Coturnix japonica: one gene and its partner. The protein of the gene in region 1 binds, or shares a complex with, the protein of each later gene. Links are inferred from orthologs where the notes say so. Each region holds a gene or a part of one and is shown in the gene's direction. Other genes may lie near its edges.

What was found.
Region 2: the proteins of interleukin-1 receptor-associated kinase-like 2 (region 1) and IRAK4 are in contact, whole or in part, in a crystal structure (PDB 3MOP), measured with the Homo sapiens proteins. The link is inferred for Coturnix japonica from reciprocal best matches to the Homo sapiens genes IRAK2 and IRAK4. Residues at the interface, in NP_001561.3 of Homo sapiens: Tyr6, Ile36, Lys44, Met48, Glu59, Trp62, Trp63, Trp64, Gly65, Met66, Arg67, Gln68, Ala69, Gln73; in NP_001107654.1 of Homo sapiens: Asp24, Phe25, Pro28, Gln29, Lys34, Glu92, Phe93, Phe94, Ala95, Pro96, Ser98, Val105.

The regions. Positions count from the first base shown.
Region 1 is NC_029527.1:16,756,252-16,760,748, forward strand, and holds the start of interleukin-1 receptor-associated kinase-like 2, read left to right. Parts: upstream 1-1,423; 5' UTR 1,424-1,454; coding exon 1,455-1,701; intron 1,702-1,828; coding exon of another isoform or gene 1,829-1,939; intron 1,940-2,216; coding exon of another isoform or gene 2,217-2,401; exon of another isoform or gene 2,402-3,064; intron 3,065-4,497. Other genes in the region: THUMPD3 (THUMP domain-containing protein 3), read left to right, coding at 244-375. UniProt on the Homo sapiens protein: Binds to the IL-1 type I receptor following IL-1 engagement, triggering intracellular signaling cascades leading to transcriptional up-regulation and mRNA stabilization.
Region 2 is NC_029516.1:27,252,587-27,256,394, forward strand, and holds part of IRAK4 (interleukin-1 receptor-associated kinase 4), read left to right. Parts: coding exon 1-53; intron 54-1,385; coding exon 1,386-1,569; intron 1,570-2,540; coding exon 2,541-2,603; intron 2,604-3,355; coding exon 3,356-3,514; intron 3,515-3,603; coding exon 3,604-3,636; 3' UTR 3,637-3,808.

The DNA.
Region 1 (4,497 bases):
GAATTAAACCCATTTGCACAGGAAAATCTATTGTGGAGAAAAACTTTAAGCTGACTTCACTATGGCAGGTGATCTGTTTCTAAAGAGATGAATAGCAGCATTTTCATGTGGTTTTAGACCTTATTCAGGTGTGATTTGCTATAGCCAGGAATAACATCTAAAGCAAATTTATCCTTATATTCTTATCCTGAAGAAGCTGCCACCACTCTTGCAGCTTTTTTGTGTGCTATTTTTCTGTCATAGGCCTTGTCGAGACTGGGACACATCTGGCGCAAAAGTCACACAGTGTGGGTGAATGTAGGGGGACTTCATGCTGCAGTGTATCTTCTGAAACGCACCTGGGAAAGAGTGGAAGAAAATAAGTCCTTCTGGTGACAGCCCTTGTGGAGGAAGACAGCAGAGACCTGCATCATTTCCAGATGAGCAGCTTGGTAAAGGAGGTTGCTGAGAGTGTTTGTCTCAGTTCCTGAGCGAAAGGCAATAAATAAGAATTGTGTAAATTGAGCACTGAACCAGGGACCAACCTGAGAACTCCCCGTTCTACTGTGTGCTCTGAACCTGACTTAAGTTATTGCTTTTCACTCTGCCACCTTAACTGAAAGTCAGTAGTGGTGTCAGCAATGCTCTCCTTTGCCTGAGTCTTTTCTACCACATCTGTTGTATTTCTCAGTTAAATGTTTGTTCCCTCTGCTTATAGTAGAAAACATGTTGAGGCGTTTTTGGAGCCAATTGGCAGCTTATTTTTCCCCTGAACTGTAGAAATCCTATCTTAAAATGCCAGTCTTAGTATTCCAGTTAGTCATCTCAAAGGGTTTGGAGGTAGTACCTCTTTGCTGTAGAACTTTTCCAAACTGAAAGTTTAAAGTTGATACTGTTTCCCAGATGTGAATTAAGATGTTTGATGCTCCAGTGAGGAAATGCTAGCAGTGCGCAGGTGCTGCTGTTTGTTTCTTACCTGTTACCAGCTCAGTGCTGTTGGTGCCTCGGGCTGTTTGCAGGTCCCGCTGTGGGTGAGGCAGAGCAGTTGTGGTTTCTGCCTGGGAGCGGTGTTACCTGGGAGTTGTGATGCTGGCACTGAGGGGCAGCGATGAGGGGTTTTGTAGGAGCTGCTGTAGGGATGCTGCCCTAATGACAGGAATTCATGTTCAATGAATGTCTTGTTCAATTCTTGTTCAATGAATGTCTGTTTCCTTCTCTGAACATCCTGCGGTTTCTCAGGCTAATTACTCTGCTCATCAGAGGCTGAAACACTAATTACCAGCTTGTCATTCCATTGAAGTGTATTCAAGCTCGTGGTACCGCTCTCAGAGCTGGATTTAGGCCTATTAAAGTTTATTAGCTCCATAAAGGCACTTGGTCTCGGTGTTCGTGTTCTGGGCAGCCGCTGCTCCGAGCGCATCCCGTGACGTCACCGTGCCCCCGCGTTACGTCAGCGCCGCCGTGGCTCGTTGCGCATGCGTGTCGCCCTGCCGTCTTCTGCGCATGCGCGGTTGGGCGGCGCCCGGCCTCGCGCAGTGATGTCGCCGCCGGGCCGCGCCGCGCCGGGCCTGCGCTCCGCCAACACGCGCGAGCTGTCCGAGGTCGTGTTCAACAACCGCAGCCCGCGAGCCGTGCTGCCCATCTGGGTGGACTTCGAGGGCCGGCCGCGGTACTACCCCGTGCTGCGGCCGCGCACCGGGCGGGTCATGCACAGCTACCGCGGTGAGCGGCGGGGAGCGGGCAGGGGGCGGTTACGGAGCGGACGTGGAGCGGGCAGGGGGCGGTGAGGGGGCGCGGTGCCGCGCGGTGCTGCCGTGAGTGTCCACGCTGTGAGCGCCGCTCCCCGCAGGACACCTGTGGCTGTTCCGTGACGCGGGCTCGCACGACGGGCTGCTCGTCAACCGGCAGGAGCTGTTCGTGGCCGCTCCTGACGTCAGCAACGCCGACATCACGCTGCCAGGTGCGGGGCGCTGCGGGGCGGGCGGGGCGCGTTCACCGCCGGACACAACGCGCAGCTGATGCTGGCGGCCGCGTCCGATAATAACGCTTTGTAGCTGAGAATCCGCTCTACGCACCGGTGTTACCGTGACCGCCTGTCCGGTGTAGCTCCCGTGCAGACAGATGGCACGCTTTACTTTCCGGGCGCCCCTCGTAGGCTCCGTAACGCTGCCGGGCTGTCTGTGTTGTGCCGGTTCCCAGCCGCCCGCTGCCCTCGTGCCCGCTCTGTCTCCCCGCAGTGTTCACGCTGAAGGAGCGCTGCCTGCAGGTGGTGCGCAGCCTGGTCCGCCCCGGGGACTATCGGAAGCTGGACATCGTGCGCTCGCTGTACGAGGAGCTGGAGGACCACCCCGACATCAAGAAGGACCTGCAGCGGCTGTCCATGGAGAGGAGCGAAATGCTGCAGGAGGAAACCCTCGACTGAAAGGATGTGTGTTCTGAGCCACACACATAGCAAAGCACTGGGTTTAGGAGGGGCCGTCAGTTGACGTGTGCTGGGAGCTAATGTCGGCACTGAAGTTCTGGAACACACTCAGTCACACTGTAGAACATCTGCTGTGCTGGCAGCTCAGCTTCCAAAGACAAACAGTGTGCAGGAGTGCGCTGCTCTGTGAGGGCTCTGCTCCTGCTCTCATGCACTACTGAGCAGTGACCCTGATGGCCTGGCACATACAGGACCCAGAGGAGTTTGCTTTGGACTATTTCAGAACATTCCATGGTCACACAAATGGGGTTGTCTGCCTGGAGGAAATGCACGTGGCTCAGCTCCCTGTGTTAGAAAATGACACCAAGGGTTCACTTAATCCAGACTCTAAAATCGGTGGCAAAGCAGCACCAGGTTTGCTTGAATAATTCGGTTTTGGTGGAAATTCGCTCTCTCACATGCTGGATTTATGTTTGAATTACAAAGTGTGGGGTGTGCTCACGTGAGAGCTTCCACAGTTGCCTTCTGAGGGCTTGGCCCAAAACTTCTGTGCTGGCGGAAAGACGACTAAGCATTTCTGTGTTAGCCTATGTGTTCATAAACCCTCACTGCAGCAACTCAGGCTGACAAATTTTTACACAGAACATGCCTTGAATGCCTTAATTTGTCCTTCATTACTGAATTCTTGCTTTATCTCTAGGTGAGGGCACCTTTTCAGCCATATGAACTGCATCTTGGTTTTGGGACCCCTTTCTGCTCTGTACCTCTGTGCCCACACCCTCAGCTCCCATACTGGTTTACCAAGGGAGCGTTCCCAGAAGGTGGGTGCTCTGAGCCTCATTTTCTTGTCCCAGGGATTGGCCTTGGGGAGCATGGTTGGTCTTGGTCTGCCCAGGCTGCTGGTGCCCCCAGAGCCACAGAAGCTGCCCCAGCTGCAGGCCTGGCTCCCCCAGGCAGAGTTGTGCTTTTCAGCAGGCCAGCTGCACAGAGAGAAATCATAGAATGGCCTGGGTTGCAAAGGCCCACAGTGCTCACCCAGTTCCAACCCCCTGCTGTGTGCAACCAACCAGCAGACCAGGCTGCCCAGAGCCACATCCAGCCTGGCCTTGAATGCCTGCAGGGATGGGGCATCCACAGCCTCCTTGGGCAACCTGTTNTAATCATAGAATGGCCTGGGTTAAAAAGGACCTCAATGACCATTCACGATTCATGATTGCTGTGTGCAGGGTCACCAACCAGCAGCCCAGGCTGCCCAGAGCCACATCCAGCCTGGCCTTGAATGCCTGCAGGGATGGGGCATCCACAGCCTCCTTGGGCAACCTGTTCCAGTGCGCCACCACCCTCTGGGTGAAAAACTTCCTCCTATTATCCAACCTGATCCTCTCCTGTCTCAGTTTAAAAGCTTTCCCCCTTGTCCTGCCACTATCCACCCTTGTAAACAGATGTGCCTCCTGTTTATATGCTTCCTAGAAATAAGAAAGGTTCTTCACCTACATGTTCCCCCATACCTCAAATACACAGATGTGTGTCTGTGTGTCTCTGTGCATAACTCAAAGCAATGTTGGTTTTAGCAGATATGTGAACTGCTCCCCAGGCTGCAGAGCAGCAGGTTGCTAACAGATAGCAGCAGGCTGTTCTGCAGTGTGAGGTTCTGAAGTAGGCAACGTCTGCCCTTCTTGTGGACTTTTTTCTTTCTTAAATGTTTGTGTATGAACTGATTTTTGTTCCTCATAAAAATGTAAATCCGTGTTAACTCTTTGAGTCTCGTGCTGTCTGATGATTTTGCAGTGGTTGCAACTGCACACGCGTTTGTGTTTCTGCAGTGGCATTCAGGTGGATGCTGCGGGATTGAGCTCACATCGGATTCGCGGCGCTGTTGCTGTGAGAGCCGCCAGGAGCAGTAATGGGGCAGGCAGGACAGAACCGAACGTCACACCGAGTGCTGCTGCGGGGCGCTGAGCAGAGCTGCAGCGGCAGGAGTCGGGACGCGGGCAGCACAGCTCGTGTGGCACTGCTTGAAATGAGGGCTGCTGTGCGGGATTATTTGTGCCTCGGTTTGAAGAAGTGATTTTCAGTTCCCACGTGAAACCTCTCAC
Region 2 (3,808 bases), on another chromosome or scaffold:
AATGGCATCACCTTTTTGCATGACAATAATCATATTCACAGAGACATTAAAAGGTAAAAGACACTGGGTGCTTTTTGTTGTACTTTTTTAAAGTCTGTTAGAGAAAACAGAAAGATTCAGTGCTTTACTCAAGGACGCAATCCTTTCTGCAAGTGCTATCCATCACCATAATCTTGTCTGTGCCACAGGGACATGACTAGTACAGGCTTCTAAAGATGATTAAGAGTCTGTTGTAATCTGTCACTTTCAAATCGTTATCTGAGCGCTGCAAAGGCGTGTAGGAGTTCTGTTCTTTCGCAATTGCTGCTCACAAAGAAGCTGCCGTAACAGAACGTTGTGACTTTTTAAATTGGGAGTTTTTCAGATGAAAACCCAACGTTTTTTGGTTTTTTTTTTCCCTGGAGCATTTCTGAGTTCCTCCTTTGATTTCCTTCTGTTTAATATGAAGACGTTAAATCAGGTTCATGAAGCTTAATTACCTTTAAGGTTGATGTCTGTTCACTTATTTGTTATAGCAAAATAGATGTTTTGGTTGTTCTTTTTGTTTGCACTGACAAAGTAGTCAAAATGTTTCAAGAAAATGCCTAGATATGGGTACCCTGCTTCTTCTGTAGGTTGACAAGGAGCAACCAGTGGGTTGGGTGTCATAGAGGAATGTTTCAGTGGCTTTCTGGCTTCTGACACCTCTGTTAAGTCTAGGCTGTACAGGCTTTGTGAACTTCCATTCTGTGAGGAAGTAGTTTTTGCTTCAGCTCACCCATAAAAGGTACTTGCTGCTTTGACAACTCATATTTCTTCTTTCTTTCCTGCTTAAGCATCAGGACATGCGTAGTGCCTGGAAGGGATGCGTTTTCTTACCTTATGCTGCTCTACTCTTCTAACTGCTGTGAGTTGATTTTATCACAGGGTTGGATTTGGCTTTGTTGTTGTTTTTTTTTTTTGGCTTCAATTCCATTTTGCAACTTCTTGCATTTTCACTGTTCAGATTTTCTGTAAGACCAGTAAAAAGCTGGAGATAAAGAGAAACACAGCACATAGATAATTCCAGCATTAAGCAGTATTGTTTCTCTTTCAGGAGAATACAAGTATTGGTAATCATTTGACATTGCAGTGTGTAACAGTTGACATTGTATTAGATAATAGGTATAAACCATTAAAGCCAGCTTTTATTAGTTCTGAGTAGAGGTCTAGCAGTTAAGAATTCTACTGTGCTCCACTACTCAATTTGGCTGTGTTTTTCTTTTGTGTTTTGCTGGGGTTATCTGTTATTTCTAGAAACATTCAGAATAGCAGCTTGCATTTGGTTACTAAAGAATTGTTAGTCTATATTAAAACCCAGTTACTGTTTTGGAAAGCTCCTTTCATTTTTCTCCCCTCTTCACCAGTGCAAATATCTTATTAACTGATACCTATGTGCCTAAAATTTCCGACTTTGGACTTGCAAGAGCATCAGTAACATTCACACGAACCATCATGACAGACAGAGTTGTGGGAACAGCAGCCTATATGGCACCTGAAGCTCTGCGAGGAGAAATAACGCCTAAGTCTGATATCTTCAGCTTTGGGGTAGTAAGTAGAATGAGGGAAGCTGTATGTGATTGTGTTTATGTGTTGGTTGATTTCATATTGGAAGAAGTGTAAAAAATCAAGAATACCCGAAATTAAGCAATCTACTTGAGGAAATGGCCACCAGTTGTATCAGATGAGGTTTTGTCTGGACATAAGAAGGAACATTTTCTCTCAGAGAGTGGTCAGGCACTGGAATGGCTGCCCAGGGAGGTGATGGAGTCGCCATCCCTGGCAGTGTTCAAGAGGCATCTGGGTGGGGAGCTAGGAGATATGGTTTAGTGGTTTTCTGTAGGTATAGTAAAGGGATGATGGTTGGACTAGATGATATTGTAGGTCCTTTCCAACCTTGTGATTCCATGATTCTATTTTCATCTGTTATTTTTCCTTTTCCCAGTGAATGTGCTCTTAAGATAGTGTTTCTACTCTTTGAGTGGTCTAAAAGCATTTGAATATGTTGATTAAAATTTTGATTAAAATTTTGCACCTGTTGATACTTACTTAAAATCTGAAAGACAATGATCCAAAGTGAGTTTCATCACCAAATGGATGTTGTCAGTGTGGGATTTGACTGAAAGCTGAGTACAGTGCATATCTAATCAGAAAAACCCAAACAACTGCCTGCTATTTGGGAGAAAAGTGAATCTATTCCCTTCTTCGTGCCATTTAGTTTCATAGGGATGTAGGTCAAACACTGTACCTGAGTATCTGTGAAATTCTTCCATCTTCCAACTTAGAGACAACGCAGTGTAGGGTGTGGAAAAGTGCCGAACATCACAGCTAATAGCAGATGATGAGAATAAGGCTGGGAACAACAGGAACTATGGGTTGTGTAGTGGGCTGTGCAATGGGACAGGTACTGATCCTGTGAGCATTTGTGTGAAAGGCTGAGGATCATGTTCCTCTTTTCAAACACTGTGTATGCTAAGGATTAATGTATTCTATTCTTCTGATTTATTTATTTTTTCTTCTAGGTCTTACTAGAAATAATAACAGGTCTGCCACCAGTAGATGAAAACCGGGAGCCACAGTTGCTGGTACTTTTCTGCTTTCTTCCTCTAGGATCATTTCATGTAAAATAGTCATCAGGTAACAGGTGGTGAGACAAGCAAATTGCATCACTTGATGAATAGTTATGGGAACCACTTTTGTATCAATCTTTATTTTAGAAGTGAAGCATTTTACTCTTAGCTGGTAGGAGACTGTCCAGTCCCCACATCATCTCTTTCCAATCTGTATTATATTTCTCTTTGTTCTGATACTCTTTCTTGTTATAATGCTATTTAGCTTTACCAGCATGCCCTTATTTTACCAGATACCCTGATCCTCTTTCATCATATCATTTGGTTATGGTTTTGGTTTGGTTTTGTTCCGCACTGTTTGATAGCTGGTCACCCTCTCACACATAGGCAGCTTTAGGATTACCTGTATACTATTAATAGGGCACTTTCTCTAGGCTTTATCTTCTCTAAGCTTTATCTTCTGGAATATAAAGTCTGATTTGATAGGCTCCTTTTGGGAGCACAGAGAGTGGGCATTATGAGATAATGTGGCATCCCTAGCTTCAAATATTTACAAGTTTTTAATCCCCACTATAGTCTTGTAAGTTGTTTTGGTAGATACTGATGAATAATTGTGCTACCCAACCATTGCTGTTATTTTTCTCAATCACTTCTCTAGACAAAGAATGAAGAGCACTGAAAAGCAAGTTGTCAAAGTATTCGTGTGGAATTTATGATCTTCAGATGCTTACTGTATTCTCTGCTCATTGGTTCCAACTCTCTTGTAGTTAAGTATCAAGGATGAAATTGAGGATGAGGAGGCGACTATTGAGGATTATGTTGATGTAAAGATGAGAGACTGGGATGCAACTTCAGTTCATAAAATGTATTCACTTGCTGATCGGTGCCTGAATGAGAAAAAAAACCGGAGGCCAGACATGAAGATGGTATGTAGATGTTCAGATTGAAGGCTTCTGTATAGCTCTATTTGTAGCTGTGGTGTCAGTTACTTGTACTTCTCGCTGTTCTCTTGCAGGTCCAGCAGTATTTACAAGAGATAAAAACATGATGTGCTTTCCTAATATACCTGTTTTCTAAACAGAGCACAGACCAGCCAGCAGCAAGTAGAGAACTATATTAGCACTTACTGTGACATTATCAGCCTTTCTGCTTTCCAGAATTTTCTGGTCCACATGTAAGGCGTGCAGGTGGCTTGCCATCATAATGCTTTTTTATTATTG